Linked DNA regions of Caenorhabditis elegans. The protein of the gene in region 2 purifies or fractionates together with the protein of the main gene of each other region. This does not show direct contact. Each region holds a gene or a part of one and is shown on either strand. Other genes may lie near its edges.

Region 1 (16,229 bases), on a different chromosome or scaffold from region 2:
ACGAGTGGTATTATTATGGACTTGAACGAAATACAAACGTGATTCCGGGATTTTTATCGAAGAAATAAGAAACACCGCTGGCAATTCCAATGGGAAATTGGGCGATGAAAAACATGCACGTTAATAATAAAACCAGCTGAGTGCTCTTTATAGAGTCGTTCACTTTTTTTGAAGATAATAATCGCCATCGATTATTTTCGTTCTTCCATAATTCTTTCACTAATAAAAACGTCACAACAGGGAAAAGAAAACATGGAATTATCTGAAACAGATTTGTCTTACTATTAATTATTAAAAAATTTTAAAAATTTAAAAATTAACTCACATTTGACACCATTGCATTACCTAAAGTAACATATTTTAAAATAACTCCATTATTTCTTTCAAATAATTTGGATATGTAAAGATAAAAAGATAATACTCCTTTTGGATTGCATGCTGATTTGTATTTTTCCGAGAAAATATCATATTCCAAGAATGTGCTTATTGAAATTGGGAAGAAAAGTAAAGATATACCAATGATTGCAAAAAATGAGGTAGGCGGTTTTGTAAGTTTTTCATATTCAGTTTTCATTGGATTTCTTATAACCAAAGTTCTAATAAGAGCAATTGAAAATAAAAGCCACGTCGAGGATCTCTGCGAATGGTCCTTAAGCATGATAAGTATTCTATCCAAGAACACATTCCAATACCATTTTGACTGAAAACAGGGATCAAAAATGATTTCTATGGATGGGCCAAATGTTTGCTTGATTTTGAAGAGCATTGAGCACATGTCGAATATTGCAACGGAAGCCATAATAATGTTTATAGATGAACTCCGTAAGGGTTTTCGGATGAGAATCAAAAAATGAAATAAGTTTATGAAAATGCTTGCAGCGGAGAAATGAGGTTCGAAGTATAAAACCCGATCAACTGTTTTTCTGAAAAATGAAACAATAATCATGTTTAAAAAATTTTAGCTTACAAAAGTTGGGTTTCAAATTTGCATAAAGAAATTGCCGTGGCAGTTTTAAATTTTGGATAGTTTCCCTCCAAATCATCACAGGTGGACATTGATTTTGGCTAGTCAATTTTCTGAGTTTATTGCATTTATTTACTTGACTTCTACAACAAGAAATAAAACGATTAGATTAACAAAAAATGAGTAATATATAGAAACAAAAAATATTCAGACTGGAAGTAAATTCTCAAAACGTATAGCCGTAATGACGACAGTCTGAATTCTGTAATTTCGTTTTAGTTGTTGTGTGTCTTGAAAAGGAAATTTGAGAAAAGTTAGGTCTTAATTAATTAAAAATATTGTTACTCACATAATACCTAATACGACAAACAAACCACAAAATTGACAAAAAAAACATGTTCAAAAGCTTAGTGAAATTATAGAAAACATTTATACTGAAATTCAGAAAACTATTGAACTAATGTGCCGGCCTAACTCGAGTGTTCATACTGACTCCAATCATCTGTTGTACCTGAAACTTAAAATTCCAAATCAAAAGTTTGCCTGTAAATCTACTTCTGGTTTTTGTCCGCAAAAAAACACCTTTTTTTAACTTCCATGCTATACTGTGACGACATAAGAATGCATATGAAAAAATGAGATATTGTTTTTGGCAACGAGAATTATTGAAGAAACAAATGAAATGTCATAAAGTATTATCCTGAAACAACGTTTGAGATTTTACTCAAGAATATAAAATTGCTACTGACCCGATTTCAGGAGTTTTTGAAAAGAAATAAGAAACAGAGATCGAAATTTATATTTAAAGGTGGTTTGGAGGCGCTCAGTGGTAGTTGTTTGAATATAATTACAATTTTCCAAACACGATAACTAAATCGTAAATACACAAATCAATAAAAATGAGTAAAATAAGGAAATGTGGGGTGATACACAACATGATTTTTTCATTCACTTTTGAAAAAAAAACCTTCATAAAGTTTTGGAGCCGACGTCAATCGTTGAAACACTAGTAATGATTTTGGAACAAGTTTAGTGTGAATATGAACAAAATTAATTGCGAGTTGAAGGATGTATCATGATAAACAATTGTCAAGCCTCTATTTCGTCATTACTATACCAGTAGCCAAACAATCCCCGTTCATCTGTAGAACCTGAATTTTCAGATTTAACTTTCAGATGTTCAACTTCGAAATCACTTTAGCTTTTGTTCTGCAGTATATGGATTTTTTAAGTTCCGCGCGATACTGTGAAGACATAAAAATGCATATAAAAAAGTGTGAAAAGGTATTGGCCACCAGAATTACACTGAATATATACGAAATTTCGTGCAAAATTATCCTGGAAATGATAAAATCTGAATTTTCGCTCAAGCTAATCTGCAGATTAAAAAAATTTACTTACATGAATCCGGGAGTTTCTGAAAAAAAGTAAGAAGCACCGATGGAAATTCCAATGGGAAATTGGGCGATGAAGAACACGCACGTCAAGAATAAAACCAGTTGAGTGTTTTTCGAGGAGTCGTTCACTTTTTTTGAAGAGAATAATCGTTTTCTATTCGCTTCGGCTTTCCAAAGTTCTTTCACAAGAAATACAGTCACAATTGGAAAGATGAAACAAGGTATTATCTGTAACGGGGATTAATGTTATATTGGGGAGCTGGGTGTCTTCTAACAGGCGTTTGACCGTAGAGCTCCGAGCAACTGAACTTTAGTTTCTGGAAATTGCGCAGCCGACATCGAACAAAGTCAGCGAAGGACCACTCGCGCCCGCATTTCTCTTGTCTTGGGGGCTCTCGCACACGCATATCACGGAATACTATTCACGCATTTTCAATTCAAGATATAGATTTTCTGGTTAGGATTGTGCTGACGTCACATTTTTCTGGACGGAAAATTCTCGCATTTTTTGTAGATCAAACGTAATGGGACATCTTGACACCACGCATGACCTGATATTATAGTAAAACTTGTTTATATTTTTATGAAGTTGCAAAAAGTGGTTTTACTAAGTTTTTGCAATCTTTTTGAAAGTTGTCGATCAAGAAATTTTTTTTTATTCTTATGGTCAGCTTATGTTTCAATTACTAATATTCAAACATTGAAGGGGTCGCAACAGTGCTGCAGTTTTTTAAAAAAAGACGAAAACGCAGTATAAATTTTGGCACCGTAGGAGTGGTTTTTAAAAGTTTTCCCACTGGCACAACACAAATATCAATTTTTTAAACGTTTTTGTTGACCTTTTTCCTAATTCAAACTAACCGTAGAGACCACTGAATTGATTAAAGTATATATTTTCAGAATCATGCCATCATTCTGTTTGTAAGACGCAGATATGTCCAGATAATAAAAAAGTACTCCATCCGGATCACACGAAGATGTGTGGTTTTGTGACGTTATATCAGACCCGAAAAAGGTGGCTATTGAAATTGGGCCGAAGATCAAATTTATACAAATCATTGTAAATAATGATGTTGGTGGGTGTGCAAGTCTTTCGTATTTTGGATTCATAGGATTTCGTATGACCAACGTTCTAATCAGTGCAATCGAGAATAGGAGCCATGTCGAAGATCGTTGGGAATGATCTTTGACAACTAGAAGGATTTTCTCCAAATATACGTTGAAATACCACTTTGACTGCATGCATGGATCAAATATGTATTCTATCGATGGACCATATGATTGTTTCATTCTGAAGAGCATTGAGCATATATCGAAAATTGAAATAAAAGCCATGATAATATTGATAGATGAACTCCGTAAAGGCTTTCGGATGAGAATCAAAAAATGAAAAATGTTTATGAAAATGCTTGCAATGGAGAGATAATGTTCATAGTTAAAAACGTGTCCTGATATCTTACTGAAAATGAAGCAAATTCATCTAACCATAAATATTTGCCAGAGCTTAAACTCACAAAAGTCGAGCCTCAAATTGGCATAGAAAAATTGCTGTGGCGTTATCATATCCTGGATAGTTTCTTTGGTAGGCATTGCATGTCGACATTTTGTTTCTGTTAGGGTTGCAATCCAAAAATCCAATTTTTGTTTAAAAGGTGGTGTAGTCGAATTTTTTTATTGCTTTATTAGACTCTGAAACGACCGAATTTCATAATGAAATTTCTTGAAAACTTCTCAAAAAAAAGTTATGACGGCTCAAAAAATAGCTTAAAACTGGTTAAAGTTTGAAATTTGACTTGTCAGCAGCTTGAAGCTGACTGTTTTGAAATCACCGTATATCACCAAAATTGGGTATACTAGTTAAATATCTTGAGTTTTCAACTCGATTAAGGCTTTTTAAAGTTGATGGACGGGAGATTTGATTTAAAAAAATGAAAAATTAACACTACATACTCAAAATTAGACTGTGATTTCAAAAAAGTTTTTAGTCTCCAGGTGCTGCAACATTGACAAGTCAGTCAAATTTCAAATTTTAACTAATTTTAGGTATTTTTTTGAGCCGTCATAGCTTTTTTTTTTGAGAAGTTTTCAGGAAGTTTCATTATGAAATTCGGTGTTTTCAGACAATTTTGAGTCTAATAAAACAACAAAAAAATTTGACTACACCACATTTAATGCCGGATGTAAGCCGTCCGGTTTTTTTAATTTCTCAGAGTGTAGTGGGGATAGTTGAAATTTTGTTTTTGTGAGTCAGGAATGCACAGTTAAATTAAATATTTTCACCAATTTAGTTGAAAATCAGAAATTTTTGGCCCAAGCTTTTGGAATAATTTGAAAGTTTTTGAATATACCTATGTATGTGAAACGGGTTTTCTCTGATATTTTGAACAAAGCGCGGAGCTGATAAAAACACAAGACAATGTTTTTCGTCGTGTTATTATGAATCAAAAGAAAAAATTCGAGAAAAATTAATTAGCTTCAAGAAAAAAAAACATAGATGTGTTAGAAATCTCTTTGATTCATCTCTAACCAGCTAGATCAAAACAAGATGTTCTACCGATAGTGAAAAAAATATTTATTCTTAAAACACTTGAATGAAAAGCTATACAAATCATAGTAAATTAACATACAATTGTAGCAATTTCCACTCGTCCTCGGCATTTTGTCAACCTCACTTTTTAAAAACTTGTCGCCTTGCAGAACTAGTGTGAGTGACTTGAATCACAGTTGCTTTGTTTTTCTAAATCTACAAAATGTTGCATCAAGCCTGAAACATACCCGAACCTGAGTCAAATATCCACAGGACACTACTTGCTTTGCAGCAATCCGATATTGAGATGACATGAAGAAGCAAACTATGCAGTGGGTAGCTGTATTTGCAGACAGGAGCAAGGAAAAATTGTAGTAGAAGTAACTCATTATTGATCTAAATCATAAAACAACCCGGTTAAAATTTAATAAAAGATATTTATCGCGCGGCCGACATTTCGCTGGTTGCATCAAAAACGGAGTTCCTCGATGCCTTAGTGGCGTCACTCAGGCAATGATCAACTCACTTCATTCCAGGAACATCGAGAAAAAACCAAGTTGCACCCAATGTTATTCCAAGCGGAAATTCGGCGATAAAAAACGTAATAGATATGTAGAATACCAGTCTAGTAGTTTTTCTAGAGTCATTTACATTTGCAGTGGAAGAAAGATTTTTTCGCTTTTTATCCGATTTCCAGAGCTCGACGACCAATAGGAAAGTTACTATCGGGAAGAGCACGCAGGGAATTATCTGGAATTTAGAAAACCCTGTAGTTAGGCCTAACGAAAAGAAATTACATTTGAAACGAGCCCGTTAACAATTGAAAATATTTTCAAATAATACCCATCATTATCCGCAAACATATCAGATATAACTGTGTAGTAAGTTGTTTCAGTTGAATTACAAAATGATGGCACAGAACTTTTCATTAGTTCATATTCCAGAGAAAAGACCACTGAAATCGGAAGACTCAAAAATAATATTCCGAGAATTGCAAAACCAGAGAGGGCAGGACCGGCTAATTTCTGGTAGCTTTGGTTCAGAGGATTTCTGATGACTAGTGTTCGAATAAGCGCGATGAGAAAGCAAAGCCACGTTGAACACCGCCGGGAATAGTCTTGGAGGACTTGAAACGAAGTTTCGATTATTACAAAAGTATATGTTTCACTTTGAAAACAATCGTAATAATCTCGGAGAAATCGCTCGACGATTTTCTTGAGTTCTGAAAAAAATGTGCAAATGTCTAAAATAGCCACTGCAGTCATAATGATATTTATGGAGGAGTTTCTCATAGATTTTCTTGTCAGAATTGCAGAATGTAAAATGTTTACCAAAATACAAGTAATTGAAATGATAGACTCATATGACAGAACTTTCTCTGTGAAAACTCTGAAACTCTCTGATCTTGAAATACCTTTCTTTTGATTTATATGACACTTACGCCAGATATCTTTCGATTCGGTATAGCCGACGAGCAGTAGAATGCTCAAAGCCCGGAAAATCAATTTGAAGATATTTGTCACTAATCATTGTTGTAAAACTAAAAACTTTTTGATATCAAAAGGAATGGAAAAACAGAAAGCCTCCAGAAATTTAATTTTTTTTTTTGATTTATTGCGGAAGGAATTGAAGAACGAATATTTTACTCAAAAGCTGGAACTAAAAAAAGGGAATTGTCTCAGAAAAATATATTATTAAATCGAAGACGGAAGCTGCAGAAATGATAATTATCCCTTAATTTTCAGGCTACGTTCAGACATCACTTTGAAGCATGGCCGGGTGGCAATTGCTCCAGCAATGGCCAAAGTTGTCAAAAATTTCCGATTTCAGCACATCCCTGTTGTGATATTTGAGCATTCTACTGCTCTTCGGCTTTGTTGATTTGTAGGAAAAAAGGTAAGGTTTGTAAAAAAACATAGTTTATTAAAAAAACTCCTTTTATGAAAAAATTATTTGATAACAATTTGAGTAATTACCACAGAATCTATATCGATATTTTTCAAGGGTTGTTTTGGTTTAGATTTCCAGAAATATGACAAAACGAACTGCCGATAAGGATGATGTATAATGAGTACAGCGACTGTAGATATTAAGCCATGAATTGAAGCATGAAGAATTGACAAATTGGTTAATGCTGGAAAATTGGTTTTTTGTTTAAATTTACCCACAAATTTATTCCGAACCTTGATTATAATAATTAAAATCAACAGCAAACCAAATATAAAAAGCGGTCGGTAACATGAACAAAACAGGAATTGAAATTTGTAGAAGTATGCTTGCCAAAAATTTAATTTGCAACTTTCTCGTGGTCTTTGAAGTAAACGAACGAATCGAGAAAAACAAATAGTAGACACAACATGTCAAGTAAAACAAAATTTGAATCACTTCTACCACAACTCCTAATACTGTGAAGGCAATTAAAAAATGAATATGATAATCATCGATGCACAATACAAAAATATTGGAAGCCGTGAAAAAGTCTTGAGAAGGACATGGAAGCCGTCTGAGAACTTTAAAGAGTGCTTCTTCCTGGTTTGCTGGTATGAAAAATGTGAATGATGCTGCGTAAAATACTCCAATCAGTAGTTTTGTTAGATAGTAAATAGTTTTCGTACTTTTCCGAGTTATTTTGAACTTGTTGAATGGAATTGCGTTATTCCGATTTTCTACCAATATTGTTGTAGATAATAACATGACTGAAACAATTTTTTGATTTTGTGAAATTGATTGCGCGCTGTGTGGTCTGACGCGATCTCGCTCAATGTCGGCTGCGGATTTTTAAAATGTATCTGATGGGAACTGTTCCAGCTTCCAGATTGCTACACTTCCGGATACCTAAACTTACAATTCAGACTCTGAAATGCCAGCCAAGCCTGAATTTTCGGTGGGACACCCAAAAAGTTCAACAAGCCAACTGAAAATCCCGTGAGAGTTGGAAGAAATATATATGGTGTCCCGAGGCAATTCAAAAACACATCCGCCAGACACGTCCTGAATATTTCTACATGTGCACAGTCAATGTTTGTGATGTGTATACTTACCAAACATGGAAATTGAAAAGCGGAATTCGATAGGTTGACATTTCCTTTGGGCTTTTGTATAGGATACAGTAACCTCCAAAAAGATAAACTGGAAGTGAAAATGCAGTCAAAAAATGGGAAGTGTAAGAAAAGTCTTGCCAAGAGCACAAAAACGTATCGCATCTTGGACATGTTGTATAGTTTGTTAAGTAATACTCACGGAGACTAGACATGCTCACACGATTTTCACAAAAAAAAACTGTGAAGTGAATAAACCCAGTTTTTTGGTCGATATGACAGTTGTTTTCTATAAACAAAAAATGACAAAAGTTTTCTGAGAACAGGATGACTCAGTTGGTTATCTCAACAAAAATAAAGACAACTAAGAACCTAGTGGAGTAAATGAGGAAGCACGGTCATTGTGAAACATCAAATACCCTCTGTTTCCAACCTACAAAAGCAATATACTCATATTTTCATAATTACTTCAATTTATTTTCATAATTACTCCAAAAACGAGGAAAAGGAAAAATGTTTTACAAGCTGTAAGTTTTGAAGTGAAATTGCCGAATACGTAATACTTCAGAATACGTTCGCCAAATTCGATAGAAACACAAATCCAGAATCAATAACATAACAGTTATACAAAAAAAATCTACCGCGTGTTAATCGTAAAAAAAAACGGTAGGGATTCCATGGGAGGCAGGCGCGGTAGGGCCTCAAGCCTGCTGCCGACCTGCCCGCAGGCCTCTCGCCTCATTTCTGTACCACATAGTGTGTAAGGTGGTTTTATCTCCGCGGCCGACACTTTTCAGGTTCCGCGCCGCACTACATGCAGGCGGCGCGAGGCAGGCGGAGGTAGCCGCAAGGCGGGCGCGGCTGGCATTTTGGCTCGGTTCGTGTCCAGTGGTGCAAATAGCCGACCCGATGTTTTCAAAAGTTGAATTTAATATATCGCGTTGGAACAGTATACATATATTAAAATTGACAATTTTTTTTCAATTTTTATACTTGATTTTTTTTTAAATTTTGGTTATGTATTCAATAATTTTTTAGAAATTCAATAGGTATTCAATTGGCTCCAAATATCCAATAATTTTTCAAGTAGCACTTCTTGATTTCTAATTATTTCCGTAGCACATTACTACTACTGCATCCTGTGAAAATTACCTGAACGCCTCATTTGTTGGGTTTTGTTTTTGAGTCAGTGTTTTTGAGCCCAGAGAAATTAAATTTTTGTTAAACTTAATTTTGTAAATCTGATCTAGTCTATCTCTGATTTTTACCGCGCTAGATTAATTCAATAAAATTGCAATACTCACATTTCCTGTATCTCGACGGAAGGTGGAATTTAGTTCTAGGCGTGTTCTGGTTGCTTGATCACCTCTCACTGTCAGTAAAATATACAAAATCGTCAGCGCTTTTTTGGTGCAACTTTTTATTTAATTTGGAGTATGTGTTCAAAATTACAAATATACCTTTTGAAAATATAGTTTTAAAAGTGACCAAATTTTACCAAATCTGGTAATCATCAACCTTAAATGTACCTAAATCGATTAAAAAACGCAAGATAATTAATTTGAACGCCCTTAATTAGAGTTTCCAACCGCTGCGACATTGGCAAGTCGGTCAAAATTCAAATTCTGACTAATGTTATGTCATTTTTGAGCCGCCATAATTTTTTTGAGAAGATTTCAAGAAGTTTCATCATGAAATTCGGCGTTTACCAACAATTTTGAGTCTAATAAAGCGATACAACAATTTCGACTGCACCACCTTTTCACGTTTAGCCATATTTCAAATAATTTCAGAGAATTCGTTCCGATCATAATGCACCAAGAGTATACAATATCATTTGCTAGTTTAGTGATTAATACCTTCCATATCATAATTCTCACCAGTGCTGCTATGCGGAACTCTTCCATAAATCTCATTATGGCTGCGGTTGCAATTTTTGACATATTCACATTGTTTCCAACTTTCGAGCGTTTCATTTCGGAATTTATCAGCTCGTTTCATCGCTGCTCACAACCACCTTCATACTCTGAAGCGTTCATGGAAATATGCAAAACGGAATTCAAAGATTTTTCGCAAAAATGCTCTACATGGCTATGCTTTTTTATTGCTCTCATTCGAACATTGGTAATCCGTAACCCTCTAAATCCAAAGTATGAGAAATTGGCACATTCAAAATTTTCGATTTATTTTATAATTGTAACAGTTCTGTTCAACATGCCATTCACCGTTTTAGGCTTTTTGAAATACGAAATAGTTGAAATGGACTTTTTGTACGAATGTGTTCGAGTTATAAATGGAAAACAATATGTTATGGTTATCTCCAAGTTTTACCGGCATAACAAAGTACTTATAGAATTTCTGGAGACGCTCAATTCTCTTATTTCCAAAGTGATTTCTTTTTTTTTAATGTTAAAGCAAAACCAATTTTTAAAAAAATTCAGATTAGTCCTTGTCTGCTTTTTCCGATAGTCACAATATTTTTAATTCGAGAAATCAAAAAAGCTGATGAAAACAGAAGAAAAATATCATCCTCTTCTTCGGCCAAGACTTCGGATTCTCGAAAAACATCTCGATTGGTGTTATACATGACAGTTATGTTCTTCGTTTCCGGTTTTCCATACAGTGTAAACTCTGTAGTTGGCTACTATTTTGTACATGTTCCCGGTATATGGTCAGTTTGATAATTTAATTTTTTATCACGTATAAAAACATATCTAAAATTTCAGGCAAATCCTACAACAGATCGGGTTCATGCTGTCACTTTTATTAAAGTTGAACACAATGTCCCATTTTGTTGTATGTCTTTGTATGTCACATCAATATCGGCAAACTGCAATTGGTATCTTATTCTGTGGACATTTAGCATTTCAAGATAAAAAGTCAAGTGTAGTTGGTGTATCTCAAAACAATTCTAGAAAAGCTTCATCAACAATTAAAGCAGTGTCCTAAAGTTTGATTGGTTGTTTTTCTTAATTTGGTTTATTTAGTTACACTTTAATAATAAAAGAAATAATAATAAAGACTTGATATCATACTCAAACAAATTACAATAAAAATGAATTACTCACTAATTTAAAGAAATTCAATAATAGTTGTCTGGAAAAATTTTCTAACTCTTTTTAAAGCTGAATATTGAGTTACCAGCCGTTCGCACGCGCACAGCGCGTGCTCCGACTGGCGTACGCTAAATTATTTTAAAAAATTGTCAAGTACTAAGACTTTTGTAAAGTTGGATTTTTTATTCTGGGGTTTTGCGGACCTTCAACAAAGTTCTAGTAGCTTACTAAATTTTCTAGATTTTTTTAGAACTTCTGAACGTTTTCTGATTTTTCTAGGCTTTACTCTAGAATTTTCCTGAATTTTCTAGAAAGTTGTAAAAGTTTCAAGGAAGGTCAAAAGACAAAAACTCACTTTTTCTTGAATTTGAGAATCCCTACAGCAATATTACAGTACCCCGACCATAACCTTCCACTAACCTCAAACCAATATCCCTTCAAAAGGTGAAAAATCAATTTTTCCAAACTACAGTAATCCTACAGTAATCCTACATTACTTCTACAGTAATTCTCTCAAATTTTCCAGAATGTTCTGGAACAGTCTAGAATTTTCCAGAAATTTCGTGAAATGTCTCGAACTCTCCCGATTTTTCCAGAAAGTTCTAGAACATCCCAGAATTTTCTCGAATTTTCTTGAAGGTTCTAGAATATTCCAGAATATTCCAAAACTTTCCAGAAGGTTCTAGAACATTCCAGCATTTTCTCAAAATTTACTGAAGGTTGTAGAACAATACGATTTTTCTAATATCCTTTCAACAGACGAAAAGTCAATTTTTCCCAAACTACAGTAATCCTACAGTAACCCTACAGTACCTCTACAGTACTACTACAGTACCCCGACAATATCCCACCACTAACCTAAAACCGATATCCCTTCAAAAGACGAAAAGTCAATTTTCCCCAAACTACAGTAATCCTACAGTAACCCTACAGTACCTCTACAGTACTACTACAGTACCGCGACCATATCCCACCATTAACCTAAAACCAATATCCCTTCAAAAGACGAAAAGTCAATTTTTCCCAAACTACAGTAATCCTACAGTAACCCTACATTACCTCTACAGTACTACTACAGTACCCCGACCATATCCCACCATTAACCTAAAACCAATATCCCTTCAAAAGACGAAAAGTCAATTTTTCCCAAACTACAGTAATCCTACAGTAACCCTACATTACCTCTACAGTACTACTACAGTACCCCGACCATATCCCACCACTAACCTAAAACCAATATCCCTTCAAAAGACGAAAAGTCAATTTTTCCCAAACTACAGTAATCCTACAGTAACCCTACAGTACCTCTACAGTACTACTACAGTACCCCGACCATATCCCCATACTAACCCCAACCCATAATAACTTCAAATGCCTGAAACACATTGTCTCTGAAAAGTGTGACGTCACAGACTACAAACTATGGACAGACCCACAATATTTTTTTATATATAAGTAATGATGTTTTGATATTTCTTATTGTTCATCAAGCAGACCGTTTAGCTTGAAAAGCGAATTTACAAAGTAGCCAATATTTTATTGGCTAGAAATGATCAAATATATTATCTTGTACTCAAAAAACGTTCAAGGTAGAGTAGCACCAGTGTGGAAAGTGTTGAAAACTACTCATATGGTGCCGAAATAACCGAAAATCGTAATAAAACTTTTCAAAAAATATTGGAAAATTTTTTATTTACCGTCAAAAAGTGACAATTAATCACTTTTTGCCACTCGTAATTTTGGAAGTTGTCCAAAAAATTTTCCTACATTTTTTATACTGTAGTTTTATTTTAGTTATTCGAATTAAAACATAGTAGGGGTCGGAACATGCGTCATTGCTTTGAATTTCCTCAAAAGCTCTTATTTTTCAAAACTTCGGCAATGTGCCAAAATTTTGACCGGAAATTTTGAAAAATCTAAAATTTTTCGTTTTGGATAAATTTTTTACAATTAATGGGAACATTTGAAAGTTTCTCAAAATGTTTTATAGCGGCTCGGAGTTTCAAAAGCCATTTTTCATTAAAATAAGTTATTGAATACTTGCTCCAGAAACTTTTTTTCGTGTCTAATGTTATTTTTTGAATTTTTGCGATCACGCGAATGATTTGAGACGTTTTCCCGAAAAAAACTTTATTCTGAGAAATAAGGAGAAAATATTTTTTGAGAGCATTCTGACGTTTATGTATTTTCAAAGCTGCTTAAAATTGTTTAACGGCGATGAAATGATTCGAGTTCCGCTTGACATTCTTGTTTTCTGAAAATTCGAATTTCAATGGTTCTGAAAACAATTTTTTGCATTACAGGGTAGATACATCCACAGGTGAAGACGTGAATAGTTGTACTTCGATACTGGGAGGACATAAATAGACAAACAAAGAGATGAGTGCATGTGTTCAATGTTATTAACATAGAGAAAATATATCCAAATTGATTAAGCATGTTGCTGAAAACTCAGTCCAGAAATAGGGATGCCTCTAGTACTCGACTCCCTGCCACCTTCGCCTGCCTCGCCTCGCGCCTCCTATATACTGCGGAATAGAAACAGAAAATGCCGGCCCCGGAGAAAGAATGGCGAGAGGCGGCCAGGCTTCAGGCAGGCGTCAGGACGTGAAACCACGCCTACCTTCCATAAAAGCCCTAGTTAGATAAAATATCTTATTGTCAATTGGTCACTTACTGTGCACCGGGTGCAAGTATGAAGATCCCCGCACTACCCACGCTTAGTCCATATGGAAACTGGACTATGAAAAACATAATTGCTACGCATAACACTAGTCCAGTTTTTCCACGAGAATTCCTATTGTTTGGTACAGATGACATTTTTGCTTTCTTTTTACTGGTTTTGAATAAGTTCCATACAAGTAGGCATGTAACGATCAGAAGCAAAATGCAAGGAACTATCTGGAAATTAAGTTTTATTAAAGTGGTAATTTTGAGTGACCCAACATCTGAAATAGACGAGTTGAACAAATAAAAATATTCCATTATGACGCCGTCGTTTTTCATAAAAAGTTCAGACAAAACGTTAACAATATAAGTTTTGTTTGGAGCACAGGAATCACGAGGCAGGCTCTCAATAAATTCATTTTCAAGGAATTTAAACATTGAAATTGGGAACGTTGCTACACAAATACCAGTAATCACAATAATTGATGCTTTAGGTTTGCCGAGTGCCTCATACTTTGAGCTTAATGGATTCTGGATTATTAGTGTTCGAATAAAGGCAATAAAAAATATGAGCCATGTTGAGCATCTTCTTGAGTAATCCTTCACTACAGTGAGCAATGCTTTAGTTAGAACTAAACCATATGTGTCTAAGGACAAGCATTCAAAAAATATGTCCTTATACCGCTCAAATAATACTTCAATTGGTAGCAAAGAGGTAAAAATATCGAAAAATGCAACTGCCGCCATTAATATATTAATTGAAGATGTTCTCATTGGTTTCCTTGTGAGAATGAAAAAGTGAACTAGATTTATCAAAATACTTGATATTGATATTTCGTTCACATGGGCAAGAAGTTTGTCAGAAAATGGACTTAAGTGTTTAGTTTTTAGATAACTTTCAAATACGGGTAACTTACTAAAATGTTTTCTCGAATTTGCAAAGTGATTTTGCCGTCGATTTTTGAATTCCTTCGTAGTAGAATTCAAGATCAGTGCAATCCGATATATACATCTTGTTAATCCTGATAAGAAGTTAAAAATTGAAAAAAAATTTTTAAAGAGTTAAAAAATAATAAAAGAATAAGTTATGCCAAAAACAAAAATATCACGAAAAATGACAAAAAAATGTTCAATAAATTTCTGAACGACTTATCAGAGAGTGGCAGCTTAAGTCAGAACACCAGGATTTAATTCAGATTTACAAATTAGATTAGCATAAGAAATTGTGAAAATTGGTAGAAAGTGAATCAGAATAATGTGGTCATGATTGGTGAATGGGAAAATTAGTGTTTTTTAAAATTAATTTCTTTTTCGAAAAGTTATGACTTATAGTTTACTTATCGTAGGGTTTTTGACAGAGATGACCAAGTAACAATATTCCTGCTCGCAATAATTACTTTCTGAAGTTTCAATTAGACAAATGTTACACTTTATAATGAGAAAATTCAACAATGAAAAAAAAAAGATTGTTATGCAAAACACTTATTCAGTTTTGCTCCGAGAATTAATTTTTTTACTTACAGACACAATATTTGCCCTCTTTTTAGCGGTTTTCCACAAATTCATAATAAGTAATAATGTTACAATTGGGAGCAGTATACCCGAAATTATCTGAAATTTTTGTGATCAACAGAGAACATTGAATGCGAATTGATCATACATCTGACAAATCAAATGAGTTGAATAAGGAAAACATTTCTCCAGAAACCCGTTGTTTTCATTGATATAAAAAAGCTTTTTTTGTTTTGAGAACGATATCTTGTTTGCGTGGGATCACTGCTAATTGGAAAAATGGCTTCAAGCCCACCGGCTCATGTTTCATTTCCAAATTTTTTTTTCTCGTGGTTTTTCGAACTGAAAACGCAGCAAAATTGCTCAACTATATACTCAATTTTTATTTGAAGAAAAACAACAATTTGGGCTGATCTATTGTGCGCGGCAAACCCTAATTTCATTTTCACAGAAATCCTATAAATTTGAGCTTGATTGCCAGGGAACAGATATGATTTACGCGGACTGCAATGACCTCGATCGTTTCTACGGTGGTTTTCGGAAATCTATGGCAAAATCGTTATGCAATTTCGAACGAAATGTTGTGTGAGTTTTTAGAAACTGTTTGAGTTTTAGTCTAAGATGAATTATAGAACATTCTCGTTCTACATTACCGGATATGTCTATGAAGTATCAATTTTGAGTATCTTCATAAATGTTCTTCATTTATTTATTCTGACAAGAAAACCAATGAGAGCTTCTTCGATTAATATTTTAATGGCTGCAGTTGCATTGTTTGATATTCTGACATTTTTACTAGAAGTTCAACTTTTTCTGGAACAATAAAGTTATTTAATTTTCACATGCTTCCCGACAGATACCTACGGTCTAGTTTTAACCCGAGCTCTGTTTATTGTAGTGAAGGATTACTCGAGAAGATGCTCGACATGGCTTATCGTGTTTATTGCTTTGATTCGAACACTAATAATTCGGAATCCATTTTGCCCCAAGTATAGTTTGCTGGGAAAACCAAAAGCATCGCTTATTGTGATTGCTGGAATATGTGCAGCAAGTTTGCCAATTTCTATT
Region 2 (16,834 bases):
AAGCGATTCGCTCATTGGCTCATCAATTCCAGCGCAAAGTTCTCTGTATGTATCTCTAATGGCTTGATATTCGAAGAATCCAGTTTTCAGTGCATCCTTGAAGTTGGTAGCTTCATAATTTTGTTCTGTGGCAGCGATCAGTGAATTCATTTCATTTGCAAAAACTCGATCAGCGAATTTCTTTGCATCTTTTCGGAGAAGTCCGGCATCCCGTTGTTCAATCATTTCCTTGATCCATTCGATCATAGTGAATAGTCTCAGAATAGCTGCATCTGCCATTGCGTACACAAAGTTAGCATCTTCCAAACCATCCCCAGCATCGGCAAGACTCAATCTCATACCATCTGCGCTGAACTTTTCGATGGCTTCTTCCAATGTCATAAAGTTTCCAGTGGATTTCGACATTTTCTCATTGTTCAAGAGCAAATGTCCATTGGCCCGAATTCCTTTTGGCCATTTTGAAGTGTCTGTTGGCCAGATTGCAGCATGATTGAACAGAAGATATGTCAAATGATTTCCGATAAGATCTTTTCCAGATGCTCTCATATCAATTGGATACCAATACATGAATTCTTTCCTCAATGATTTAAGCTTTTCCTCCTCAACCGGCATGGTTTTCGAATCGTAAATTTCTCCGAGGAATACATAACTCCACGAAGCATCTGTCATCTGATCAGCTTTAATTCCAGCAGGTCCGACGACTGATCCATCAAAAGCTCCCTGTTGGAGAAGATGAGCAACTGTATAATAAGCATTGTAGATTGTAGAGTCTGACAGAGATTCGATGAGGTATTGAGTATCCCATGGAAGTTTGGTTCCAAGACCGTAACTTCTGGAGCAAGCATACTCGTGGAGCCAATCGACTGTGGTTTCCAATCCACGGCGGGTCTGAAAATTTTAATTCAGCGGAATAAGAATATACTACATAGACATCTAAAAATGAGAATTTTCGACATATCTTACGCGCAGAGGACGCAGGCAACGAATTACTGTAACTTCTGTTGTCTAATGGGCCGTTATTGCGTCATATTCTTTAAATTAAACTCCAATTTCAACAAAAAGGGTTTTAAAAAAATCGTCCGTAGAGTTGGAGTAATTTGTAAACTATGATATTCTTTGAACAAATTTTTTCGATTTTTAGATAAAATTGTGGTTTTATTTAGAGAATATGCTGCAATAAAAAACCCTTTGATCGGCAAGTTACAGTAACTCGTTGTCTGCGTGGCAAGACCTCTGCGCGTAAGAGATGGCGAAGATTCTTATTTTTAGACGTCTACATAATATTTTTTCAAAAATAATTTAAAAAAATATACCTCATCATTGAAAGTTCTGAGTGGCTCAAGAACCTTCTTTGCAGCAGCCTTCCATTCAGCCTCTCCATAATTCAAATACCATTGATCACACAACGCAACGACGCACTCATCTCCAGATCTGCTCATCACCTTCTTCTCAGGCTCCACATATTTCGTGGCAAGACCTTCAGCTGTCAAATCATCTTGAATAACTTTCTTGACGTCGGCTGTCTTCTTTCCAGCATACTTTCCGACGAGCATAACTCCATCGTAGAATCCTTTCAAATAAACTTCTTTCTTCGCCTCTTCCAGTTTGTCCTTCTCATTTTGAGACTCAATTTTCAGCCTTGAGCACATTTCAACTGCAGCCAAATCCCCAAGTCCTTCGATTTTAATAATTGGAACTGGTTCGAATGGAAGAACCATCTCATCAGTCAATCCATATTTTTCTCTCAATGGCTTCTTCTTCTTGAGATCCGACAAAGCTGCAAAATCATCTGGAGAGTCTGATGGTACACTTGTAACAACACCAGTTCCCTTATCATCCTTGATAGTCAACATTGGCAATGCATAAACTCTTTCGTATTTTGCGAGAGGCGCAGAGAGTGGAGCTCCGAGAATCTTGCTTCCAGCGATTTTCTCGAGTCCCAGGACATAGTTGACTTTACCATTTTCCTTAGTCAATCCTTGATATGACATGATTCTAGCAGATCTGGCAGTTGCCACAAATACTTGTTTCTCGTTTTCCGTCGCATAAAACACGGAATATTGAATATCTGGATGGAGATAACAATTCGTTTGTCCGTACATTGTTTCAGGTCTCAAAGTAGCCGCAACGAGATAAATATCCTCTTTGATATGGCTCAAAGCTTGAGGTTTTGGATCAAGAACTTTCAGTTTAATAAGAGTATATTCTTGTGGACCAACACCTTCTCCACTGGCACGATCGTGATCCATGCATGGTTGACCGTCTTTCGGTGAATAAATTGTATATCTCTTTCCGAAATCGATCTTCTTAGCTGCACGAAGAAGGTTGAACTGCCAACGGACGAATGAGTCGAAGTATGGATTCACGTCGGTGGTGATGAAGGAACGACGCCAATCAGCCTGAAAAATGGCAATTTTTAATTTAATAATTTCGAAATGTTTCTTTTTTAATTTTGTGATAAGTTAAATTTTTTTGAGAATTATATTATTATTAAAATGGAGAAGCAAAAATGAGGAAGTAAGGCATTTTGTTCCAATATTCATTAAATACAATTCAGGGATATAATATAGAAAAATATTTCATTTATCTGAAAATAGCTTTGATTAAGGTTGAAAAATTGGAAAAGTGCCAAAAAAATCGCCGGTAAAAACCGACCAATTATCGAAATTTTTTTACAGGTTATTTTCAACTTTTAATCACTAAAATAAAAACTATTTTCAGATAAATCAAATGTTTTTTTTCCAAATTCTATCACTAAATTTTAATCAAAAATATTGGAAAAACATAATAATTTAGTACTATTTTTACAGAACTCACTTTCAACACTTTAAGATGATTTCAACACTTTAAATCTTACCTTTAGTCCCATTTTCTTAAGATCAGCAATGCAATGTGGTGGGAAATAATATAGCCAATGATTTGGATCCGAGAATTCCTTAATTTCCTCATCACACAATCCCAGAGACTTCATAATTTGCCATTGGTATTTTGCATTTCCAGTTTTTGCCACCAATTTACTCTTCTTTCCTTTACTCTTATCCTTGATAATCTCATCGACAGCCGAAACTTCTTCTTTAACTTCCTCGACAACATCTTCCGGGAAATTTGGTGGATATCCGAAATCTTGCATTTCTCTTTTCAATTTATCTGCACATGCTTTAATTGGCATTCCAGTACAATGAAATCCGAATGGAAAGAGCACTTCTTTGCCTTGAAGACGTTGGAAACCGGCGGCAAATTCACATTTTGAAGCTGAGAATGTGTGTCCCAAATGAAGACGTCCATTCATGTATGGGAAGGGAAACGTGACGAGGTACTTTGGTTTTCCACTGAAATTTTTTAAATTGAAAATAATTCAAAATTTTCAGAAAAAACTCACTCATCCCTAGCATCCGCCTCGAAAGCCTTCTTGCTCTCCCACAGCTCCTGAATGCTCTTTTCAATTTCTTGAAGTTGAGCAACCTTCTTCCGCTCCTTATTGATTTTCGACATTGTCGATATTTGTTACCCTGATATTTAAAAATAATTAAAACCTTTAAAAAATTCTTTTAAGCAATAGATTACATCAGAAAACACAAAATGATGAAATTTACTTGGTTTCTATTTGAAAAAAATCAATAAGTGATTAGAAAGCAAACAAGTTTGTGGAAAAAAATCGATATTGAGATTTAATTGTCGATAAAAAAGTTCAAATTTTAAAGGGAACAACTTAAAATAGGCCCATTTTCTACCGTTCTAAAAATCCTGCATTATCATGGCCTAGTTTTGCAATGGCATCGACCGCGGCCACGTCAACTTTCCCAACTTTTCATAGGGGTTTCAATCACTCGGAGAAGGCGATAAAATAATACAATATTATAAAAAATGAAGAAAAATGTACTTTTCGAGTTCTCGAACAATAATTTACCAATTTATAGAAATACAATTAGTGATTTTTTCGGAGCAACAACAGAAATTGGATTTTTTCTACAATTATTAGTAATCTATAACAGGCTAAAGGTACATTAAAATAGTTTATAATAAATTTAATTATCTTTAAATTTTTTGGTATATAAAAATTCTACAACTGCTACAACATGAAACATATTGAAAAGGAATTTTTGCAATATTTCATATTCGACTGATTTCAGGAATAGGTCACACTGCACCATATTACTTGGAATTAAATTCGTAAATGCTCCGTTTTGCTCTTAACGAATCAAGTACGGTTTCTACTTTTGAATGGAATTTTGCAAAATATACTTAGTTCATAAAATTATTCCTTTTCCATATCCAATGAAGGCCAATTTATCAAGTTGGACACACACATTGGTCAGATTACAACAAGTGGGATTACACTCAACATCACTTTCTCCTTGCTATAAATACCGGCTGACAGACTTTAATAGTGACTTGAGATAGGTTCTTCGCTGGACGAACTTGACTCGATTTGTATTAATTCATCTAAATTTCTCAAAGCAGAATGTTCCGAAATCTAGATTTTAGTAAAATAGCCATATTTAACTAAATATGTTTCCATAAATCTTCTGAAATTCTCCCAATTTTTAATTGTTTTTTAACCAAAATTTTAATACCAAAAAATTTAAACATCTTCTTAATAGAAGGTACACAATAGATCATATATTTTCATAGTGATACTACTGATTAACCCAGGCAAAACATGATATATCCTAATTCGCAATATACAAAAAAAAACATTCCTTATCTCCGAAAATTTCCAGTTCTAATTTCACTTATTGCGCAACCATGGACGTCCGTCGTCTTCATCACTTTCTCACCTTGTTGTATATCACTACGCAACAAACTTATATAATTTTACCCGATATGCCAAGAACCAGATCTGTTTGAGGCAGATGATGTCCAGCTATTTGAAGGTTTTGTTACACTTCTAGTCAACCCGATTTTGGGAGTATTTAACGACGATGGAGATTGACCGATTTTAACAATCTTACACACTTCTAGATGAGGAGATCTATTATTTTTCTAGCGGCGATTTGTGGGGTCACGTTGGCTGAAAGAAAGGTGAGTTACTTTGGACAATTCGTACCTACGAATATGGATAATTTTTAGGCAAGACAGGATAATGTTGGTGACGATTATTCTGATTTTTCATCTCAACCGGTCAAGAATGCTGGTGCCAACCATAATTTGAAACAAGTAACCTACTCAACAATCGCACCGAAATTCGATATTCCAACTCGTGCACCACTTTTGAACCCAAATCCGATTGGACGCAATCAGAATCCCGTTCAAACTACCACAAAGAGGCCAGTTGTCGCCTATAGAAGAGGGTATTTCTTCCAGCATTACCCATGGGATAGGCTTCCAAGAAGATATCTTCTTCGTCCAGGAATGACATATGTATATCCACCACAGTACACATTCGCAACCTACCGTTATCCACATCTGCCATACACCGACCACTACAGTATCTACCGTACTCATCCAGGAATCGGTTCCGGCTGTGGAGGAGGTGGGTGTGGTGGCGGATATCCACAGGGTTACGGTAGCTATGCTGGTTATGGAAACAGTGGAGGATGTGGAGGTGGAAGTGGCACCGGATGCGGGGGTTATAACGATGATGAAGACGAGGATTCATATGAAGACAGCGATGAGGAGAATGGAAAGAGTGGAGAAGCAAAGATCAACAAGAAGGATCCATTGGAAGATTTGGAGCTGGAAGATTTGGAAAAACTATCAAAATCTGATGACACAAAATCTGGAACTTCTGAGGCAGTCACTTCTGATGATGTTGATGTTGAACCAACTGAGATTAAAAAATCAAAGTTAGGAGATGATGAGGACCTGATTGACGATCGAAAAAAAAAAGCAAAAAGAAACTTCCTCGTCAAGTGGGCTTAATTAACTAAGAATTTCACTATTTTTGTTAAAATTATTATTTATTTTTTGTTATTGAGGATCTCAGGGATAATTGACAATTTGCTGCAATTCGAATTCTCTGCAATATTGTAAATAAATATTTTTTCACTTTTAAAAACGGCCGACAACAATGAAAACGTATGTTTCCACTTCATATAACCACAGAAACGATATGCACGACATCAAATAAACATTTCAAATGACTTTATTACAAAATGCATTTCCTCCACTCAAAGGATTACTGTAGGTCACAGAATCGCAACGCCTGACAGACACTTGTTGATGGAATACCTTGTCGAACACGTTGAAACATTTCCTTCACATTCTCGGACACGAATTGCACACAAACAGGCTCCATGAGTCCCATTTTATCGCACTTTTTGAACATTGAATTAACTGTTGCAGTAGGTGTCATCTCTCTTTCAAGAGACTCACTGACAACTGTGCACAACATGCATGTCACCACGGAAGTTGCTTCACAACGAAGTGCTGAACAGAGTATTGTTATTAATTGGTACTGATCAAGCTTAAGCCTTTTCTAAAACTGACTGGGAAACATCTAAAACCTAGTGAATCATAAATTATCATCACCTTCCGTTCCAGGTGCCGACCTACTTTCGGTTTCAATCGTTATCTCCGATTATCTTTTGCCATCCGAAAGATAAATGCCAGTTGCATATACACAAAGAAAAGTGAAAGAACGTTCATAAAGACGATAGCTTCTCATATTTCTGGTAGGCGAGGAGAGGAAGTTTTTGAAATTGACTCTTTTGGCTTTTTTGTAGTCAAACAGAGCGTGCTGCAGCTTGTGACTCATCACAATACTTGAGCCATTTGGTTTGACACCACACTTCACAAAACCAAAGTCACAAATCATAGAAGTTGAGGGAAATCTTTCTATTCGATGGCTTTCAGATCTAGTCTTAAATAGCGACAATATTTGTTCAAAAAGAAACAGAATCGTTCGAAATTCTGATATTTATCTTAAATCAAAGCGTTATTTGGCTTTTTTTTTTAAAGATCTCTATTAACAGAAACACCACGATGACGCGTGAGTTTATAACTTACAATTGGCAACAAGAATAGTGAATAAAACTGACAAGGCTACACTTGACGGGCAGACCATCTCGGAAGACGACGAAACGGACAGAATGATCTAGAAGAGTCTCGTCTGCGGGATTTCGACTCAGCGTCGTCATCCCTTCCGGAACCTCCATATCAAATAGCACCGTTTCTCGCTTCTCCGCCTCCCCAGGCACTATTATGAGCTGTTGTGTGTGTGCAAGCTCACATCATACAAGAAATCTCGAATTCCCACTAATAATAGACAATGAGACTGATGTTTTGATTGAGTTGAGATCGTTTGATTAGTCAGAATAGACGGAAATTGGATGGACCAACAGAAAAAGAGAGGAACGCGAATCGAAAAATATAACTGTGGAAATCGGCAAAAAAAAAGAATGATAACAAAAGGGAAAAGCGCGTGGCATATTCTTCCAACAAAATATGTGTTTTTTTGGCGACCGACTGTGCAACTCTCTCATCATTTATATTCTACACAAAAATAATTCGGAATATCCAAAAACATGCATAAAGTCGCGGAAATGTTACGAATGTCAATCCGAAAACAGAATTGTGAGTTTACATGAATATATACTCAAATCTACTTGAATAATGCTGAAATGTGTATTCCAATACACTTTTTTAATCTCACAAAATTCAGTAAATAATCTCACACTGGAGAGTCAAAGAGTTCTACAGCTAAATTTCTCATTTACGAATCAAATTAGAGTTTTAAAGCGTTCCTTCGTATTAATATCAGTGTAAAAAAATAATTAAGACAAAAAATATTTCAAAAAACCAGAAAAAGCGAAAAAATGAAAAAAAAAAAAGAATGACAAAAACAAAGCGAAACTTTTTTCTCAGACTACGGTAGATCTTGTTGTGTGCAGCGTGTTTGCACAGATTGTCGACCGTACCCGGAACTTTTTTATTTGAAATATTTTCAAAAAAATATATTTTCTCTTTCCAAATTATTCACATTTTTCGATATTTTAATCGTTTCTTCATGGTTTTGCTGTTTGGAAAAAGACGTTCATCACAGGGTAAGATTTATAATTGTTTAATTCTCAGCAATTAATTTCCATGAGCAGCGAACGACTAATTGTCAAAATTGAGCGTGTTTTATATTGATTCTGTCTCTGTGCTATTCCATCTTTCCTGCCTAAAATGTATGGCTTTTCTCGTTACATTTCTCCAATACTTTCCAAAGAGACGCAGACATAAACGAATGTTTGCCCTATTGCGAAAGAAGTAAATGAATCACCCTTCCTTTTCCCTTTTTTCCACTATTTTTTATTTTTTATTTTTTGAAGCAACATCGGCGACCATGTCAAAAGCAACAACTCCAGGAGATCAACCAAAGGTTTCGGAAATGGACTTTTATCAGCTGCTTGGAGTAGAGAAAATGGTAATTAATTTTTTCGGATGACATCTGAAGGCATGCAAGAAAGCAATATTTCGTCTCCAGGAAATTTCCAGGAAACGTTTAAGATATATTTAGTATTTTAAATGAAATTAATCTCCCTATCATCGAAATTAATAGAAATTAATTCATTTTCCAGGCGTCCGAGGCAGAAATCAAATCAGCGTATCGAAAATTGGCTCTTAAATACCATCCAGATCGTAATCCAAATGATGCTCATGCTCAGGAAGAGTTCAAGAAAGTTTCAATCGCATATTCAGTTTTATCTGATCCAAATAAGCGAAGACAGTACGATGTTAGTGGTCCATCAGAAAATCAATTGGACTTTGAAGGATTTGATGTCTCCGAAATGGGAGGAGTTGGTGAGAAATTTTCAAGAATAACATTTAAAAACGTTGATTTCTCCAAGAACAACTGAAAAAGTTAACCCAGAAAATTCCAGGGACTTTTTTTTTCTAATTATATAAATAATTGCAGGTCGTGTCTTTGGAGCACTCTTCAGCAAGCTTGGAGTACCTATTCCCACACAAATTGTCCCAAAAGTTCTTGCACAGGCACGTCACATTTGTATGGGACAAGAATGTGATGTTCAGGCACGACAACTCCCTCCCGGGGAGACTGTAACTTCTTCTGTGAGCAAGCAGGTGAGAAATTTGTTGTACCATGAAATGTGAAAATTTAATATTCGAAAAATTCGGATGGATTTTAAGTTTAATTTTTTTAAAATTTAATTTTATAAATACTACTAAAACTAATATTAAAATTAATTTCAGCACGCCCACTTCTACGAAATTAACATACAGGAAGAACATCGAAAGAATGGAGTTGCTATCATTTGTAAAAGTTCATCTAGTAAATTCAAGTTAGTGTTATTCGATAAAGAAGGAGGTGTCCGAATGATCCAAGAAAGTGGGAAACGAGGAAAAGCCGGAACTCAAGCCGACATGTTCTTTGTACCGTACAATGTGGCCAATATTCAAGAATTCAATGCAATGAAATATCATTTGGAGGATAAGGAAACTCCATTGGCTTTTCATTATTTGGATAGTTTTGAGATGCAAACTGCGACACTTTTGGAGACACGGAAGCATTATATTGCAGTTTATGGTGATAATTGGATAAGCGATGTCAAATATTCAATAACCTTCCTTCCTGTGGAACCTTCTGCTGTCGAGCAACTGAATGAGATTCAGGATACGGAGAAATCGATTTCTATTATTAAAAAAGAAATGCTGGATTTCCAAAGAGAATTCACAGAAGCTAAGAGAAAATATGATGAAGCTGTGGCGAAGTTGAAGGTAAGATTACTTACTTCGGAAGCTGAAAGAATATTTGTTTTAATCAAAAATTTAATTTTCAGGTACAAGACGACACAATTCTGAAAGCGCTGGCACATCGTGAAGAGCTCTACAATGAAGTTCTCCAGAAGTCTCAAGAACCGTATAACAAGAAAGTTTCCCCATCTAAATCATCGGGTGGTCTCCTTGGATGGTTCAAATGATCCCTATCAAGATTTTTTTAAAACTATTTCACAAGAAGAATGGGTCTTTTAAATTTTTTAAATTTCACTTTCCAGAGTTAGTTTCGATATTTATTGATTGTTGATAACATTTAATTTCTCCTCTATTTTCTAATGTCGATCCATCAGATCTCTTTTTTTCTTTTTTATGGTGTAATTTAGCAAAACTTTAAGTGTTCTGTACTCAATTTCTAGATAAATTACTAGTTTTGCTCTTGATTGAAAAATATAAATAAAATATTTATGGCTAGAGTTTGATTTTAAATTTATTTTTTCTTATTAACGCTGTAAGCAGATTCGCAGCACAAATTTATTTGGCGAGCAGTATAACTTTGAGATGATTTTTTTTAGCATTTATGAAATTTTGTACTCTTTAATTGCAAATTTTCCATACTTTCATACGAAATTTCATGAGTTTCTCAATATTCCTCAATACTTCAATAGTGCTTGTTTACGAATTGATTACAATTTTGAGACAGTAATTTTTAGATTGATATGATACTTTCATTCTTATCATGTCGTTTCCGGCAAACAATCGAGTTCCAACTCAGCTCCCTCTTGACGTCATTTCCCATTGATATTTCGCAATAGACATTTTGCCAACAACAAAATGTCTCATTTCTCTCTCCGTCACACGTTTTCTCGTTGCAGGCGTGGCCGCGTTGCGGTCGCGACGCGTTTGTCGACGTTGCTTTAGCATATACCCTCACTTTCCTCATCACAACAATCGCAGAAGCAGAAGAAGTCTTTTTCTTCATAAATTCCTGGGCTTTAGCCCCATATTCGCTACACTGAAGAACTATACAATGAGCAACTATCCAAAACGTATTTATGTGCTCCCAGCACGCCACGTGGCAGCGCCACAGCCTCAGAGAATGGCTCCCAAGCGTGCACTTCCAACAGAACAAGTTGTCGCACAACTTCTTGGCGATGATATGGGACCATCTGGGCCACGCAAAAGAGAACGACTGAATCATTTGAGTCAGGAGGAGAAAATGGATCGTCGGAAACTTAAAAATCGAGTCGCAGCCCAAAATGCTAGAGACAAAAAGAAGGTTAGTGCTGAATGTTTATCGAACCCTGAAAATAAGTTTAATTCTTGTAGGAAAGATCAGCAAAGATCGAGGATGTGATGCGCGATCTGGTGGAGGAGAACCGCCGGCTCCGCGCTGAAAACGAACGTCTTCGCCGTCAAAATAAAAATCTTATGAACCAGCAGAACGAGTCCGTCATGTATATGGAAGAGAACAACGAAAACTTGATGAACAGCAATGATGCATGCATCTACCAGAACGTCGTCTACGAAGAAGAAGTCGTCGGTGAGGTTGCACCAGTTGTCGTCGTCGGAGGAGAGGATCGCCGTGCCTTTGAATCAGCAGCATTCATTAATGAGCCTCAGCAGTGGGAACAGGCCCGATCCACCTCCATCAACAACAACATCAGCAACCAACTCCGTCGTATGGATTCCAAGAAGAACAACACAATCAGTGTGGATATGTATCTAACTATCATCTCGATTCTATGCAACCACATGGATCGCAACAAGAAGATGGACACCTCGAACAAATCCTCGAACATCTCAAGGTAAGATAATTAGAAACTTCCTAATGTTTATGTATTAACTTCATAAATTTCCAGAGCCCAAGCGGAGAGTTCGATCGATTCGTTGCTGGCTACATTGAGGAAGGAGCAGACGGTTATGCAGCGTCTTGTTCAAGCGGATCCATGTACACATCTTCAGAAACGCGTGAAACACTTTCGCCGAATTCCCTAGCCATGTCCCCGTCGATGAGCAGCTCGAGCACTGACTGGGATGATGAGCTTTTGGGATGTGGAACCGAAACTGGAACTGGAACCGACGAGCTGCTTACCGACCCCGGAAACTGGAACTTTGAAACTTTCGACGAAAATTCAATCGACCTAAATTTCTTCCAAAATTAATTTATATCTGGTGTATCGTTATTGTAGTGTCCTAGTGAATTTCCCTCGTTATTATTTTCTCCCCAAAAATCTCTCCAAATTTCTCCATTTCCTCTCTGGTATTTTCTTCTTTTCCTCTTTTCCTTTTGTACAACCCCAACTTTCGTATTATTATTTACCCTTATTAAATTTCCCTCCCCCAAAGCTCATTGATTCCAATTCCCCCATTTGTATATTTAATAAAAACAGCCATACATTTTTGAGATTTGATCATTTTGTGCAGGAACTCCTTCGTTATTTGCCTGGACTACATTAAAAAGACTCGCAGCCTCTTCACATCAAGCAGTACATTTGTTTATATTATTCAAGGGAATATGGTGTGAAAATGTCTAAACAAACAATCCATCTTTCGTTCCCACCCGTACCGCCTTCTCTTCTTTTTCATAGCACAAATATACAGAGACATGCACTGATTCACACCACGTGGCCCCTACTTTCGTTTTTAGAAAATCGTATTTCTCGAAATTCAGACGATCTTTAAATTGTAGTTTTTTTTTTGTTGAATAATACTTTAGTACGATACAAAATATGTCTAAACACAAAATTCGATATAAAAGTTGTCAGATTGAAAAAGTGCTGAACTCATTGAGCTTAAGACGCTCAATCCTGGTTTAATAGCCTCTGCTCTCACTCACTTTTTCTACGACTAACCAATTAAAAAATCGATTGAATCGGTCATTCTCCGCCGCCACATGGTGCCCATCTGTCTTTTTATTTTCCATTTTTCCCCCTCACTTTCTCCTCGTTTATTTTCGCAACGCTCCAGCTCCCTATTCTCCTCCCGGTTTTTCATTTTCTCGTTTTCCATTTTTCAATTTTCTCACAATAAGGACTCACTATTTCCACTTTTTTGTTTCTCTTCAAGTGCGAGTACTAATCCCTTTCACAGGAAAAGTGGAGTTTTTGTGCTTCTTTTAAACAAAAAAGTAGATTCGAATCGATTCTTAGAGAGAAATCGGCATCGAAATGCTTCATTTTCGCAATATTTATTAAATTTATTGGATTACCTACCGCTGCGAGACCCACCTGGAAATTGTATGCATGCACCTTTGATCACTGTAATTATTTGTTTGTCTTTTCTGATTTTTCTTCCTTCTTCATCATTTTTAAGCGTGTTTTCTAGTTTTTCCTCGCTATTATGCCTAAAAAACATTGAAAAGAAATATTCGTAATTTGCACCTATTCATTCCTGATATGACAAAATATTTATCCGATCACTTCACATCAAAATTAGTTCCCGTGTCACAACAAAGAAAAGACCTTGAACACTGAGGAGAAAGAGAGAGGAAGTGAGGAAAATGAGGCAAGATGACACAAAAAAAAGACGGAAAACTATCGAAAAATAGGGTCGTTTTGAGACTGAACAACCAGTTTTGGCCCCGTTTCAAGTGTTGGTAGCTACCTCTGAAGGCAGAACTTTTTTGAAAGACTGTAGATACTGTAGATTGAAATTTGATTAAGTTTCCAATGTCTTTTACGTTATTTCAGTCCTTTCAAAATCTGTTTCTAGACTTTTTCTTCTCATAACTTCAAAAACCAATACAATTTCTTCAAAAAAATAAGTTTTTGCTCACAAAAATCTTTGCACAGGATCCAATGGCCTAGCTTTACCCAGGCCACCACATTCCTCTGTGTTACCCGCCTCCTCGTGAGCTGCTCGTTGCGCGTGTATCGCTCTTTTTCTCTAATTCTCTATCATCCTTCCTATCCATTTTTAGCGGGTTTTTTCCCGATGTTACTTCAGTTTTTCTTTACGAGTAGCTTTGGTTTGTACATTTTGTTTTAGGAATTCATTTCTAAATGTGCCCAACTGAGCGAATCTTATAATGAGACTTCCCAAAAAAATGTTCAAAATTTCGAAAAAATTGCAAAAATTCCAATTTTTACATGTCGCTGTATTTCAGCTGCTGTAAGGAAAAGTATGCTTCGAAATTTTTGAACAGTCATACAGTTTTTTTTTGAGAAACTGACTAAAAGTCTCAAATTTTCGTTCATTTGGGCACATATTTTTATTTTGAAAAATCCACATATTTTCTTGAAATCTCAATCGATTTTTTAAAGCTTTTTTCTTCCTTCAAAATCTATCTTTTCGAAAAAAAAAAGCTTTTCCAAATATTTGTTGTTCCAGATCTTCTCTACAAATGACAACGGCGGCTGAAATAATAACAGTGGTGAGTCAATATAATTTCAGGTATTTTCTTCTCCAACTAAAAAAAACAAAACATCGAGCGTTTTATTTTCTCTTCCAGCGCTCCCCTCATCTTTTCCATATTATGCACATAATTTTAACCAAAACATTGATTTTTGTGGTGTTTGCACCGGTATTATATATATTCTGAACAAGTATATATATATATTATAAGTATCTCTCATTTTTCTTCCGTGGCTAGCGGCGCATGCGGTTTTGTGGCCTTTCTTATAATTTCGATCTATATCTTTTCGCGAGTTGGGTCTCGAGTGGAAGTGCACTAGTTTTCCACTCGAGACCCAATTAGTGAATGAAATTTCAGTTTGAATAACCAATGTCTGCTCCTCTTCCAAACGCCCCTCTCTAGCTTATCATTGCCACGTGGCAAAAGACTGGAAAATATTGGAGAAATCTTTTTTTTTCGAAAAAAAAACCAATATCTGTTCCAAATAACAAATTCTCAATGGTTTTTTGTGCATGGATGATGATGATGAAATGATATACACCCACACGTACACCTACACACATACACTGGTTGAATGTATTTAGTGAAACACAGTTTTTTATTTTATTTTCTAGTTTTTAATTTCATTTTTATACTAATCAAATCACGCTAGGTGTCTAATTGTAATATGGTTAAATGGAACCTGGTATATATATATAAATATTTTGCATGTGGATTTTTAGTCAGGAAAATTGAATCTACGAAATTTGAATAAAAAGTCAATTGAACATCTGAGGCAGAATAAAATTACTTTCCCATGATAGTCTAATTTATGAAATTGCATGCAATGTTTCTCGCTTTTGTGTCCATTTAAATGGCTTTTTGGAATAAAAAACTGCTGGATTGTGAAAACCCCCTATTGAAATTTTAATATTATTGGGAGGCAGAAAAATATTCGCTTCGTTTTGGCGGCAAAATAGTTAATTCAAATGTTTGAATTAGTTTCGCCAATTTTCAAGTACTTTTTCTCTTTTTTCAATTATCGATTTAGAAAGTCTGAATTTATGGTTTTTCCGCCAAATTCCTAATAAGACCCATAGTTTGGGGGCGGAGCGTTTAAAATTGGCGTCAATTTCGAAATGGGCAATATTTGCGCCCCCATAATAAATAATTCATCTTTGAAAATTGCGAGAAATTACAGTACCCCAAATACCCTGCGTTCTTTTCGGTCGCGTCGAGACCTGGTTTTTCTCACAAGAATTTTTGAAACATATTTTTGGATGACAACTCCTATCTCTATATTTTTTTTTCTCCATAAAAAATCATAAATATTATCAGGTTCCATTTTTTAAATATACCCTAGGATTACTATATATTTCAACCAATTTTCTTTCAATCTTTCATTTCTAACCGATTTCATTTAATAATAATAATGTCTACATCTATCATCCATGTTCAACCAATCATTCAGATGACGTCATATTCCGCACGAAACAGGAGATCATTCTTCCTCATCCCCTCGTCGACAAAACCGCATGAGCTCCCTCCCCAGTGAATGACATTGCTTTTACCGTTTTCAGGAAAAATTAAACGATTTCGACTATAAAGTGGCTCTCCAGCAGCAAATGGTAGCTGCTCAAAATGGAGCTGCCGCCGCTGTGCTCCGACCACATCAAATCGGATCCTCTCCAGAGGCTCCACAATCTCAAACATCTGGAGGATCAACGGAACAGCTGCAGCAGCAACCACTACCACCACCAACTCAACAGAAGCAACAGCAGCCACTGACGATTGGACCAGTGGCTCCGAATGATCGCAGCACTAGCTGTAAGAGACTCCTAATGTTCTTCTCTATTCTTCCTACGTTTTTTAGCATTAAAAAGAGAGAGCTTATTTGATAATGCACGTCTTCGTGGAAGACTTGAGAGAGATTTGTGTTCTATTTTTTTATTAAACAAAACCAGAGAAATGCATGAAAAGTGCCCAATGATGTGTGTGCAATGAGCGAAAAAAATAAATAATTTACGGGAACTTTGAATTCGGAGAATGCGTACTGCACCACATATTTGACGAGCAAAATATCTCGTAGCGATAACTTCAGTAATTCTTTAATGACTACTGTAGCGCTGGTGTCGATTTACGGGCACGATTTCGAAATGAATTTCTGTTCAAACTGTGGGAGCGATATCAAATTATTCTATCATTTTTGTGTTCTTTTAATATTTTTTCGATTTAAAATGATTCTCGTAAATCGACACCAGCGCTACAGTATTAATTTAAAGGGTTACTGTAGTTTTCGCTACGAGATACTTTGCGCGTCAACTATCCTGCGAAATACGAATTCTCAGAATTTATTGTTCCAGGTAATAATAATTTAAAATAAATGCACACACATCATTGCGTGCTATTTTAATTGTGGATAATGTTCATATCGGTGGCAGTTATTTAATTTCAATAGTGGTTTTCTTTTTTTTCGTCTAGCCATACATATATTAACCTCTGGAATGCGTACAAGCACACTGCCCACACCCCAAGGTTGACTGCTTTTTTAGTTTTTTATTAATTTCTTCTGATTTCTCTTTTTTTTTTGAAATTTTTTTGAAAAAAAAAACAGAAGGAAATCATCAAAAAAATAATATTAAAAAAATTTTTTAGGCATTTAAATCCCAAGAACACTTTTGAAAAAATATTTTCAGCAAGTAGTACAGATGGACCACGCCGCCTACACGTCTCGAATATCCCGTTCAAATATCGTGAGCCAGATCTCACTGCGATGTTTGAAAAAGTTGGGCCCGTCGTAGATGTCGAGATTATCTTCAATGAACGGGGTTCTAAGGT

Evidence for each region.
Region 1: the proteins of xbp-1 (region 2) and srh-87 fractionate together in Caenorhabditis elegans (co-fractionation; one large-scale study listed by BioGRID). This does not show direct contact.

What each region holds. Positions count from the first base shown.
Region 1 is NC_003283.11:2,937,542-2,953,770, forward strand, and holds srh-87 (Serpentine Receptor, class H), read right to left. Parts: upstream 8,162-16,229; 5' UTR 8,142-8,161; coding exon 7,930-8,141; intron 7,880-7,929; coding exon 7,734-7,879; intron 7,585-7,733; coding exon 7,072-7,584; intron 7,023-7,071; coding exon 6,838-7,022; 3' UTR 6,836-6,837; downstream 1-6,835. Other genes in the region: srw-141 (G-protein coupled receptors family 1 profile domain-containing protein), read right to left, coding at 39-262, 326-923, 968-1,056; srw-143 (G-protein coupled receptors family 1 profile domain-containing protein), read right to left, coding at 2,062-2,115, 2,161-2,302, 2,366-2,589, 3,223-3,820, 3,876-3,964; srw-137 (G-protein coupled receptors family 1 profile domain-containing protein), read right to left, coding at 5,030-5,098, 5,143-5,284, 5,415-5,638, 5,686-6,277, 6,330-6,418; srw-122 (G-protein coupled receptors family 1 profile domain-containing protein), read right to left, coding at 13,171-13,236, 13,284-13,425, 13,660-13,883, 13,929-14,520, 14,567-14,661.
Region 2 is NC_003281.10:4,183,293-4,200,126, forward strand, and holds xbp-1 (X-box-binding protein 1), read left to right. Parts: upstream 1-10,516; 5' UTR 10,517-10,690; coding exon 10,691-10,939; intron 10,940-10,989; coding exon 10,990-11,468; intron 11,469-11,522; coding exon 11,523-11,658; 3' UTR 11,659-12,066; downstream 12,067-16,834. Other genes in the region: lars-1 (Leucine--tRNA ligase), read right to left, coding at 1-888, 1,314-2,399, 2,858-3,329, 3,380-3,492; R74.2 (FIP (Fungus-Induced Protein) Related), read left to right, coding at 4,963-5,022, 5,071-5,862; ssp-28 (Saposin B-type domain-containing protein), read right to left, coding at 6,119-6,369, 6,949-7,006; dnj-16 (J domain-containing protein), read left to right, coding at 7,949-7,985, 8,256-8,350, 8,505-8,727, 8,843-9,009, 9,139-9,663, 9,726-9,866; asd-1 (RRM domain-containing protein), read left to right, coding at 14,006-14,035, 15,577-15,823, 16,693-16,832. UniProt on the Caenorhabditis elegans protein: Required for transcriptional regulation of the unfolded protein response (UPR) in the endoplasmic reticulum (ER) under stressed conditions, acting downstream of ire-1, and also maintaining ER homeostasis via a negative feedback loop, in parallel with ER kinase pek-1.